2 linked regions of the Canis lupus familiaris genome follow. The main gene of each other region encodes a partner of the protein of the gene in region 2 in a complex. Links are inferred from orthologs where the notes say so. Each region holds a gene or a part of one and is shown on either strand. Other genes may lie near its edges.

Region 1 (4,388 bases), on a different chromosome or scaffold from region 2:
AGAGCTCTTAAAGTCTAACTCTGATCACATCACCACAGATTCAATCTTTGTGCCCCTCAGTCTCATATATACATTTTTGATTTTGTGATCTCCAGACTCGTGCTAACCAATTCATGAGACCCTGATGTCGTTTTCAGAATGCCAGTTCATTAATTTGCTGAGACATAACCACTCAGCCCACTGGCATGCTCTGCTACGGGTCAGGACTTTCCTTCCCTGAAGATAAACGCACTCAGGTGACTGACTGCTCTCAGAAGGTCACTGGCTGAGCACGGGATCAGAACAAGGGACTCCGAAGCCAATGGTCTAGAGCTACGGTATAACCAGGGACCTAGAGCACAGCCGACAGGGTCTCCATGGGAGACAACATCCCAGATGGTGAGATGTGTGGAGGAGGGTAGGGGTTGGTGAGGCACCCAGAGACTAGCAACAGCCCTCCAGATGGAGGAAGGGGAGACAAACGGCTACCAGCGTCAAGTCCAGCAAGAGCTGAGACTGTCAAGGAAGCCCTGGGGAGGAGTCATGGCCATGAGTAGGAGGAGACCCCCAATCTGAGGATTCCAAAGAGGGAGTAAGGACAGGGGACTGCAGTGGTCATGAGCGTTCTCCCTTCTAACTATGTATGGCTGCGCCCTTGGCCAGGTACATCAGCCCACGCCAGAAACGTGTACTGTTGAATTCAGGTATCTTCTTGTCTGGACCAGTGCTAGAGACACACTCTGGGCCACTCAGAAACACTTGTCCTGGGCAGCCCGGGTGGCTCAGTGGTTTAGCGCCGCCTTCGGCCCAGGGTGTGATCCTGGAGTCCCATGTCGGCTCCCTGCATGGAGCCTGATTCTCCCTCTGCCTGTGTTTCTGCCTCTCTCTCTGTGTCTCTTATGAATAAATAAATAAAATCTTTAAAAAGAAAAGAAAAGAAAAGAAACACTTGTCCTAGAGACCACTCAGGGATGGTGAGGAGTCCAATGCACAGCGTTAGACCAGCCTTAAGCACCAAAGACTCACTTAACTGTAATTTAGTATGTTAGTTAAGCGCAGAATCAGTCCCAGAATCTTAGAACTTCGATAAGGCTCCCAAACTGACACCTGACGTCAGAGCTCAAGGTGAATCTCAATCTCTGAATGGACAAGTCCTGGGATTCCAGACTTAAATCAGGGCTGGAAACTGACTGGTGGCAGCTGGCAGGGCGGCATCTGACTCTGGGTTTCAGCTCAGGGCATGAGCTCAGGGTCGTGGGATCGAGCCCCACACCAGGCTCAGAGCTCAGCACAGAGTCTGTTTGGGACTCTCTCCCTCTCCCTCTAAAATAAATCAATCAATCTTAATAAAAACAAGAAACGGGCTTGTCTGTTCACCTAGAAACAAGTAAATACACACGTATCTCTACCGAGACTTTTAACTCCATGCAAAGTTTCCACAAGGCAGGATTTTTCACTTATACCAACGCTTAATCTTTAGAGTGGAGCTTTCTAATTCTAAGAGTATGGAATCTTCACGCCGAGGATGAGAGGCAGGTAGAAACAGGAGCCACTAAGGGAGACCCCAGGGAGCTGGCCACGTTCCCCCCAGCCAGCTTACTAGGGATGTGTGAGCTCTGCGCCCCAGGGCACCTCACCCTGAGTCCCCACCGACTCTCCCAACTGCAGCCACAGTGGCAGTTCGTGGAAGGTCAGCCACGGGCACAGACTGCCGTCCCATCCCTGCCTGCTCACTGCAAGTCAGACTCACTTTTCTCTACAATCTTCAATTTCTGGAAGCTTTCCAGCACCTCCCCATTCAGGATCCGAGGTAAGAAGTCCCGGATCTGCATGACTTCAGTGGTCAGCCGCTCGAGGTCCTTCTTCCGGACTTTAACGAATTCCTCTTTAGTCCCCACGTGCTAAAAGGAGGAGCAGATTTTCCCATTATTACCGTCTTTCCGGACGACTGCTGCCCAAGTCGGCTGGCTTCCTTCCTTGGACACCTCCTGCTCACAAAGCTTTCAGAAGCTCCTCGTTACCCATCCTGCCCTCTGCTCCGCACACTTCAAAGGGGGAGCCAGTGTCTCCCTTCCCATCCACATGCCAGCCCCCCCCCAGCCGAGGCTGAAAATCGGGCAGCTCTCTGGTCCCCCACCCCCGGGGGCTGAGGCCAGCCGGACAAGCTCAGTCCCCCCACCACCAACAACCCCCCCCCAAGGCCGAGGCCAGCCCCGGCTCCGGACAGGCTCTGGTCCCCCACCCCCACACCCCACCTCCATCCCCCGAGAGAGCCGAGGCCACCAGGGCACTCGTTCCCCCACCCCTGGCGGGGGGCCGAGGCTGATGCTCTGGACACGCTCCGGTCCCACCCCCCACCCCACCCCCACCCCCGGAAACCGAGACCTACACCAGCCGGACACGCTCGGGCCCCCCTCACTCTCACCCCCCCACCCCCGGGCCCAGCTGCCCGGCCCTCTGGGAGCGCCCCCCGCACCTCCGCTGTTCCGTTCATCTTCCCCACCCGCCCAGGCCGTGGGGGGGGCAGGCCGGGTGACCGCCTCCGGCCCTCACCGTGAACCGGACACTGCCCGGCTCCGAGCCCGGGTCCCCCCACCTCCCGGGCCCCCGCACAACGCCCCGGGGCCGCACTGTCCCCGCCACGCCCGCTGCCCCCTCCCGGGCCCCCTGCGCGGGTGGGCGCGGCCCGGGCGCTCCGGGGGCACCACGCAGCCAGTCGCCGGGGCCCGGCCTCCCCACTGACCCCGCAGGCCTCCTCGGCGCCGCCCGTCTCGCCCATGGCCGCCCCCGGCTGGTGCGGCCCGGCTCCCGGCTCCCTGCTCCCTGCGGCCCGGCTCCCTGCGGCCCGCTCCGTGCGCCTGCGCGCCGCGCCCTCTGACCCCGCAGGCCCCGCAGGCCCGAAAGCGCGGGAACGCGCAGCAGCGAGGCTCGAACCTCCAGGAGCTGGCGCAGCATCCTCCGCCCGGCGAGCAGCGGTGGGGGCAGCGGTGGGGGCAGCGGTGGGGCTCGGCGAGGTTCCGCGTCGGCTCTGCTGCCTTAACCGGGCTTTTAGACTCGCTGCCTGCAGAGCAGAAGGACAGGGGGATGCAAGGCTGAGCGGCAAGGTAAGCAGTCCCGGGGGCCTTCCCGACCCCGGGGGGCGCTGGGCTAGGGGCGGCGCTCAGCGGAGCCGAGGCTCCTCCGGGGGTCCGCCCGGGATTCGGAGGGCCAGCCCAGCCAGCCGCCTGTAGCCCAGACGACCACCTGCTCGGGAAGATGCCACCTGGTCCATTCACCTGCCCCGCGGGCCGAGCGTGCACCATCGGTGCCACCAGCGCGGTCCAGTGTACTGGGTCCTGCACAACTAAGACCTCGTCTGTTTCTGAGGCCAGCAGGTTGCCAACAACACCCAAGTCCCCCGAATGTTCTCCAGGCAGGAGAGCACACTCGCAAACAACCACTCTAAATCTGTCCCCATGCCAGGACCTGTACCAACCCATTATCCCCTGCATCTGTCTTGTACCTAGCCCCGGCATCCCCTGCACTGGGACCTGACCTCGTCCCTGCCCCTGCCATCCCCTGCACTGGCAATGACCCTGACCCTGCCACCCCTGCACCAGGACCTGACCCTGACCCTGCCATGCCCTGCACTGGCACCTGACCCTGACCCTGCTATCCCCTGACCCAGGACCTGACCCTGACCCCAACCATCCCCTGACCTAGGACCTGACCCTGACCCTGCTGTCCCCTACACCTGACCCTGACCCTGACCCTGCCATGCCCTGCACCGGGACCTGGCCTTGACCCTGCCACCCCTGCGCCAGGACCTGACCCTGACCCTGCCATGCCCTGCACTGGCACCTGACCCTGACCCTGCTATCCCCTGACCCAGGACCTGACCCTGACCCTGCCATCCCCTGCGCCAGGACCTGACCCTGACCCTGCCATGCCCTGCACTGGCACCTGACCCTGACCCTGCCATCCCCTGACCCAGGACCTGACCCTGACCCTGCTATCCCCTGACCCAGAACCTGACCCTGACCCTGCCACCCCTGCACCAGGACCTGACCCTGACCCTGCCATGCCCTGCACTGGCACCTGACCCTGACCCTGCCATCCCCTGACCCAGGACCTGACCCTGACCCCAACCATCCCCTGACCTAGGACCTGACCCTGGCCCTGCCATCCTCTGCACCGGAACCTGACCCTGACCCTGACCCTGACATGCCCTGCACCGGGACCTGGCCTTGACCCTGCCACCCCTGCGCCAGGACCTGACCCTGACCCTGCCGTCCTCTGCCCCGGGACCTGACCCTGACCCTGACCCTGACCTGCCCTGCACCGGGACCTACCCCTGACCCCAAGCATCCTCTGCACTGGGATCTGCCCCGGGCCCCGACACTGGGGCGCTCGGGGGCGCTGGCTCCGAG
Region 2 (3,805 bases):
GTCAACCCATCACCTCCCTTCACCTCACATCCATGCCATCAACTCTCCCTTCAAACTGGACTACAAATAATTACATTTGATAGGTAGGGACTGAGGTCTGTACCCAAGGGCACTCTAGAGACAGCAGCTGTCCCCTTTCCCATGCCTCTTTCATACAGGGATCACTGCTGAGGGACATACCTCTGCCAGTACCTCCCTATACCAAAGAGGCCCAACCATTCTAGGAGGGTCTGCCCTGCAAATATCAGATCACTGAAGGTCAGAGCCTGTCAATCTGGCTTCAGTGAAGCCACTGGCAACCACTCACTGAGTTACACATAGCATTTCCCGCACATTTTCCGTCAAAAGTGAAGCTACGACCCCTCTTATTAGTTAATTTTATTATAAGTAAGCTCTATGCCCAACATGGGGCTCGAACTCACAAACCTAAGATCAAGAGTCAGTTGCATGCTCCACCAACTGAGCTGGCCAGGTGTCCCGACTCCTTTTAGTGAGATCATCATAGATTTATATATAGATATGAGAAACGATGGGGAAGACTCCTCATGCCCTTTACTCAGTTTTCTCCATTGGTAACATCTTGCCTAACTCGAGTATAATATCACAATCCAGATATTGACACTGATAAAGTCCACTGAACTTATCTGGCTTTCTAGCTTGACTTATACCTGTTTACATGTGTGTATGATGTTCTATACAGTCCTCTTGCAGTAGACGTTGTGCATCCACCACACAGATAAGATATAGAAAATCTCCAACACAGGATCCCTTGTGCTGCCAAGTGTAGCCACACTTGCCTCCCTCCCACCCTACCCACCTGCTCCAACTCCCTGCAACCACTAACCTACCCACCATTTCTATAATTTTCTCATTTCAATAATGTTATGCAAATAGAGCCCTACAGCGTATAACATTCTGGGACTGGCTTTTTCCACTCCACATAATGCCCTGGAAATCCATCCAGATTGTTGCGTGTATCACTAGTTTGTATCCTCTTTTATTGCTAGGTTGTGTTCCATGGTGTGTCCAGCCAATCACCCATTGAAGGATATCTGGGTGTTCCCAATTTGGGATGATTATAAACATGGCTTCTGGGAATATCCACCACTCACTTTGGTAGGGGCTTCTGTTGCCAGAGATGTCATCACCCCCAGAGCTCAGAGTGGAAAGGATGAGAATACATTGTAAGACCCACCCCTTGCCCCAAACCACACAAAAGCTTCCAAGAAGTAAAGAGGTTCAGGGATAGAATGTGGGCTGTTTTCTGTGTTTTTACTACTCTCACACAACCTGGGGAAGAAGGCCGCAGCCTTGACCATTTTGCTGCAAGCACAGCTATCCTGAACACCTCATACAGGCCTGTATGAGCATGAGCTCCACAGACATCTGTAGCATGGTGTACTGAAAAGGGGCATCTAGATGAGTGCAGGTCTAGCCAGTGCCAAAGAAAACCAAGGCTGAACTCAGCTGCCAAGGCTGGTCCAAGACGCTTGTGTCTACTGGGCTCACCTGGCTGATTTTAGGGGCTCCACTCCCAAGGTCCTCTTCCTTCAGCTCTGCTTGTCTTGTTGCTGTCTTCCTGAGTTTTGCAAACTGGGGGACATACCTCCTGGCTGAGTTCTGTGAACCAGATACAATAAGAACAAAACAACAATAAAGATAAGGGGAGGAATGAGGTTTCAGAAAGCAAATGCCAAACCAGTTCCTTTCTGGCAGCCTCAATGCAGCCCTTGCCCTCTGTCCCCAGCCCACAGTCCTACCAGTCTGTCAGCATGCTGGTGATAGAGACAAGAACTCCAGCTTAAGGGAGGCAGTGTCATTGGTTCATACATGAGGCCATAAAACAGGCTCACCTGAGAAAGAGCAAAGGGAACCGGCCCCTTTTCTGGTTGCCCAAAGAGCCTGGAGGGAGCTCCTGCTTCCTCATCATGGGAGCTGGGTGGAGAAAGACAAAACAGGAGGTTCTGAAGTCCTGGGAGGCTGTCAGTGCATGTGGTGAGACAAACAGGATGAATCCAAAGGCAAAGTAGTACTCAGTCTCCTGTAAGGGAGGCCCTGGAGCACCTGCTTAGAGAGGGTGGGATGGAGAAGGGGAACAGTGTGCCTAGGGTGACACTTGGCTGCCAAGAAGGGTGTGAAGACCCACACCTAAAATCCAAGCTGTCTGCTCTGGCAGCAGTTTACCCTTATAATCTCAGGAATTGGCTCCTGAGATAAGAATAGGAATTCTCATTTGCAATGACACTCTAACCCCCAACTCTGCAAATTCCAGAGAAAAGGAAGTTATAGACACAAAAAACACAGTATCTAAAAAAGCAAGTGTGTTCGTAATTGCCAAAATGCAGAAGCAATGGAGGCAGCCTTTAGTGGGTAAATTGATACGTAAACTGTGTGCACCCAGACAATGGAATATTATTCAGTACTAAAGAAATGAATTACCAAGCCATGAGAAGACCAAGAGGAAACTTAAATGCGTATTTCTAAGTGAAAGAAGCCAGTCTGAAAGCACTGTATGATTACTACTCTGTAACATTCTGGAAAAGGCAAAACTATGAAGACAATAAAAAGATGGTGCCAGGGTGGGGAAGGGAGGGATGGACAGGATACAGGAACTTTAGGCAGCAAAAATACTCTGTATGAGATTATAATGGTGGATACGTGTCATTCTGCATTTGCCCAAGCCCGCAGAACATACAGCACAGGGATCCCTGGGTGGCTCAGCAGTTTAGCGCCTGCCTTTGGCCCAGGGCGTGATCCTGGAGTCCCGGGATCAAGTCCCACGTCCGGCTCCCAGTATGGAGCCTGCTTCTCCCTCTGCCTGTGTCTCTGCCTCTCTCTCTCTCTATGTCTATCATGAATAAATAAATAAGATCTCTTTAAAAAAAAAAGAGAGAACATATAGCACAGAATGAACTCTAAAGTGAACTGTGGATTTTGGGTGATTAGCATGTGTCACTGCAAGTTCATCCTTGGTAACAAATGTACTGCTCTGGTGGGATGGCAATAATGGGGAGTAGTGTATGAGAAATCTCCATACCTTCTCTCCAATATTACTGTAAACCAAAGTGTCTGGGATTGAGCCCTGTATCAGGCTCCCTGCCCAATGGGGAGATTGCTTCTCCTCCCTCTGCCCTTTCCCCTGCTCGTGCTTGCCTTCTCCGTCTCATGCTCTATATATGTGTCTCTTTCAAATAAATAAAATCTTTTTTTTTTCAAATAAATAAAATCTTTAAAAAAATTTATTGTAAACCTAAAACTACTCTAAAAAAATTAGGTCTTTTTATAAAGCATGTGAGACTTATGGTTATATCTAAATAAATGCAGATGTGTATGTTGCTAAAAAAAAAGATTAAAATCTGGAACTAAAACTTCAAGATTTCAACTTTGGAAGTGAAAGAGGAAAAAGCCTGAAGATACAGTAACAGGTTTAAGTTGTATTGGGGAGCTTATAGAGACAGAATACATCTAGATAGTGATAGCAAGAGTGTTTGAAAAATTTTATTTATTTTTATTTATTTATTTGTTTGTTTGAAAATTTTTAACTGGAATGGGTTGTTTGGGTGGCCTCTAAAGTATTGGCTAAGATTTCATTTCTTGTTTTATTTTTATTTATTTATTATAGTCACACAGAGAGAGAGAGAGAGAGGCAGAGACATAGGCAGAGGGAGAAGCAGGCTGCATGCACCGGGAGCCCGATGTGGGATTCAATCCCAGGTCTCCAGGATCGCACCCTGGGCCAAAGGCAGGCGCCAAACCGCTGCGCCACCCAGGGATCCCTAAGATTTCATTTCTTAACGTAGATGTG

The links.
Region 1: the proteins of BRME1 (region 2) and HSF2BP are in contact, whole or in part, in a crystal structure (PDB 7Z8Z), measured with the Mus musculus proteins. The link is inferred for Canis lupus familiaris from reciprocal best matches to the Homo sapiens genes BRME1 and HSF2BP. Residues at the interface, in NP_083321.2 of Mus musculus: Met541, Gln542, Asp543, Ala544, Thr545, Val548, Arg549, Leu551, Val552, Leu555, Ser556, Asn559, Ile562, Met563, Thr565, His566, Leu569, Lys573; in NP_083178.1 of Mus musculus: Glu23, Phe24, Val25, Lys26, Val27, Arg28, Asp31, Leu32, Arg34, Leu35, Glu38, Val39, Gln41, Ile42, Phe45, Leu46, Arg48, Ile49, Glu53, Leu54.

What each region holds. Positions count from the first base shown.
Region 1 is NC_049252.1:37,529,525-37,533,912, forward strand, and holds the start of HSF2BP (heat shock factor 2-binding protein), read right to left. Parts: upstream 2,846-4,388; 5' UTR 2,759-2,845; coding exon 2,723-2,758; intron 1,881-2,722; coding exon 1,730-1,880; intron 1-1,729. UniProt on the Homo sapiens protein: Meiotic recombination factor component of recombination bridges involved in meiotic double-strand break repair.
Region 2 is NC_049241.1:48,971,191-48,974,995, reverse strand, and holds part of BRME1 (break repair meiotic recombinase recruitment factor 1), read right to left. Parts: intron 1,936-3,805; coding exon 1,854-1,935; intron 1,621-1,853; coding exon 1,510-1,620; intron 1-1,509. UniProt on the Homo sapiens protein: Meiotic recombination factor component of recombination bridges involved in meiotic double-strand break repair.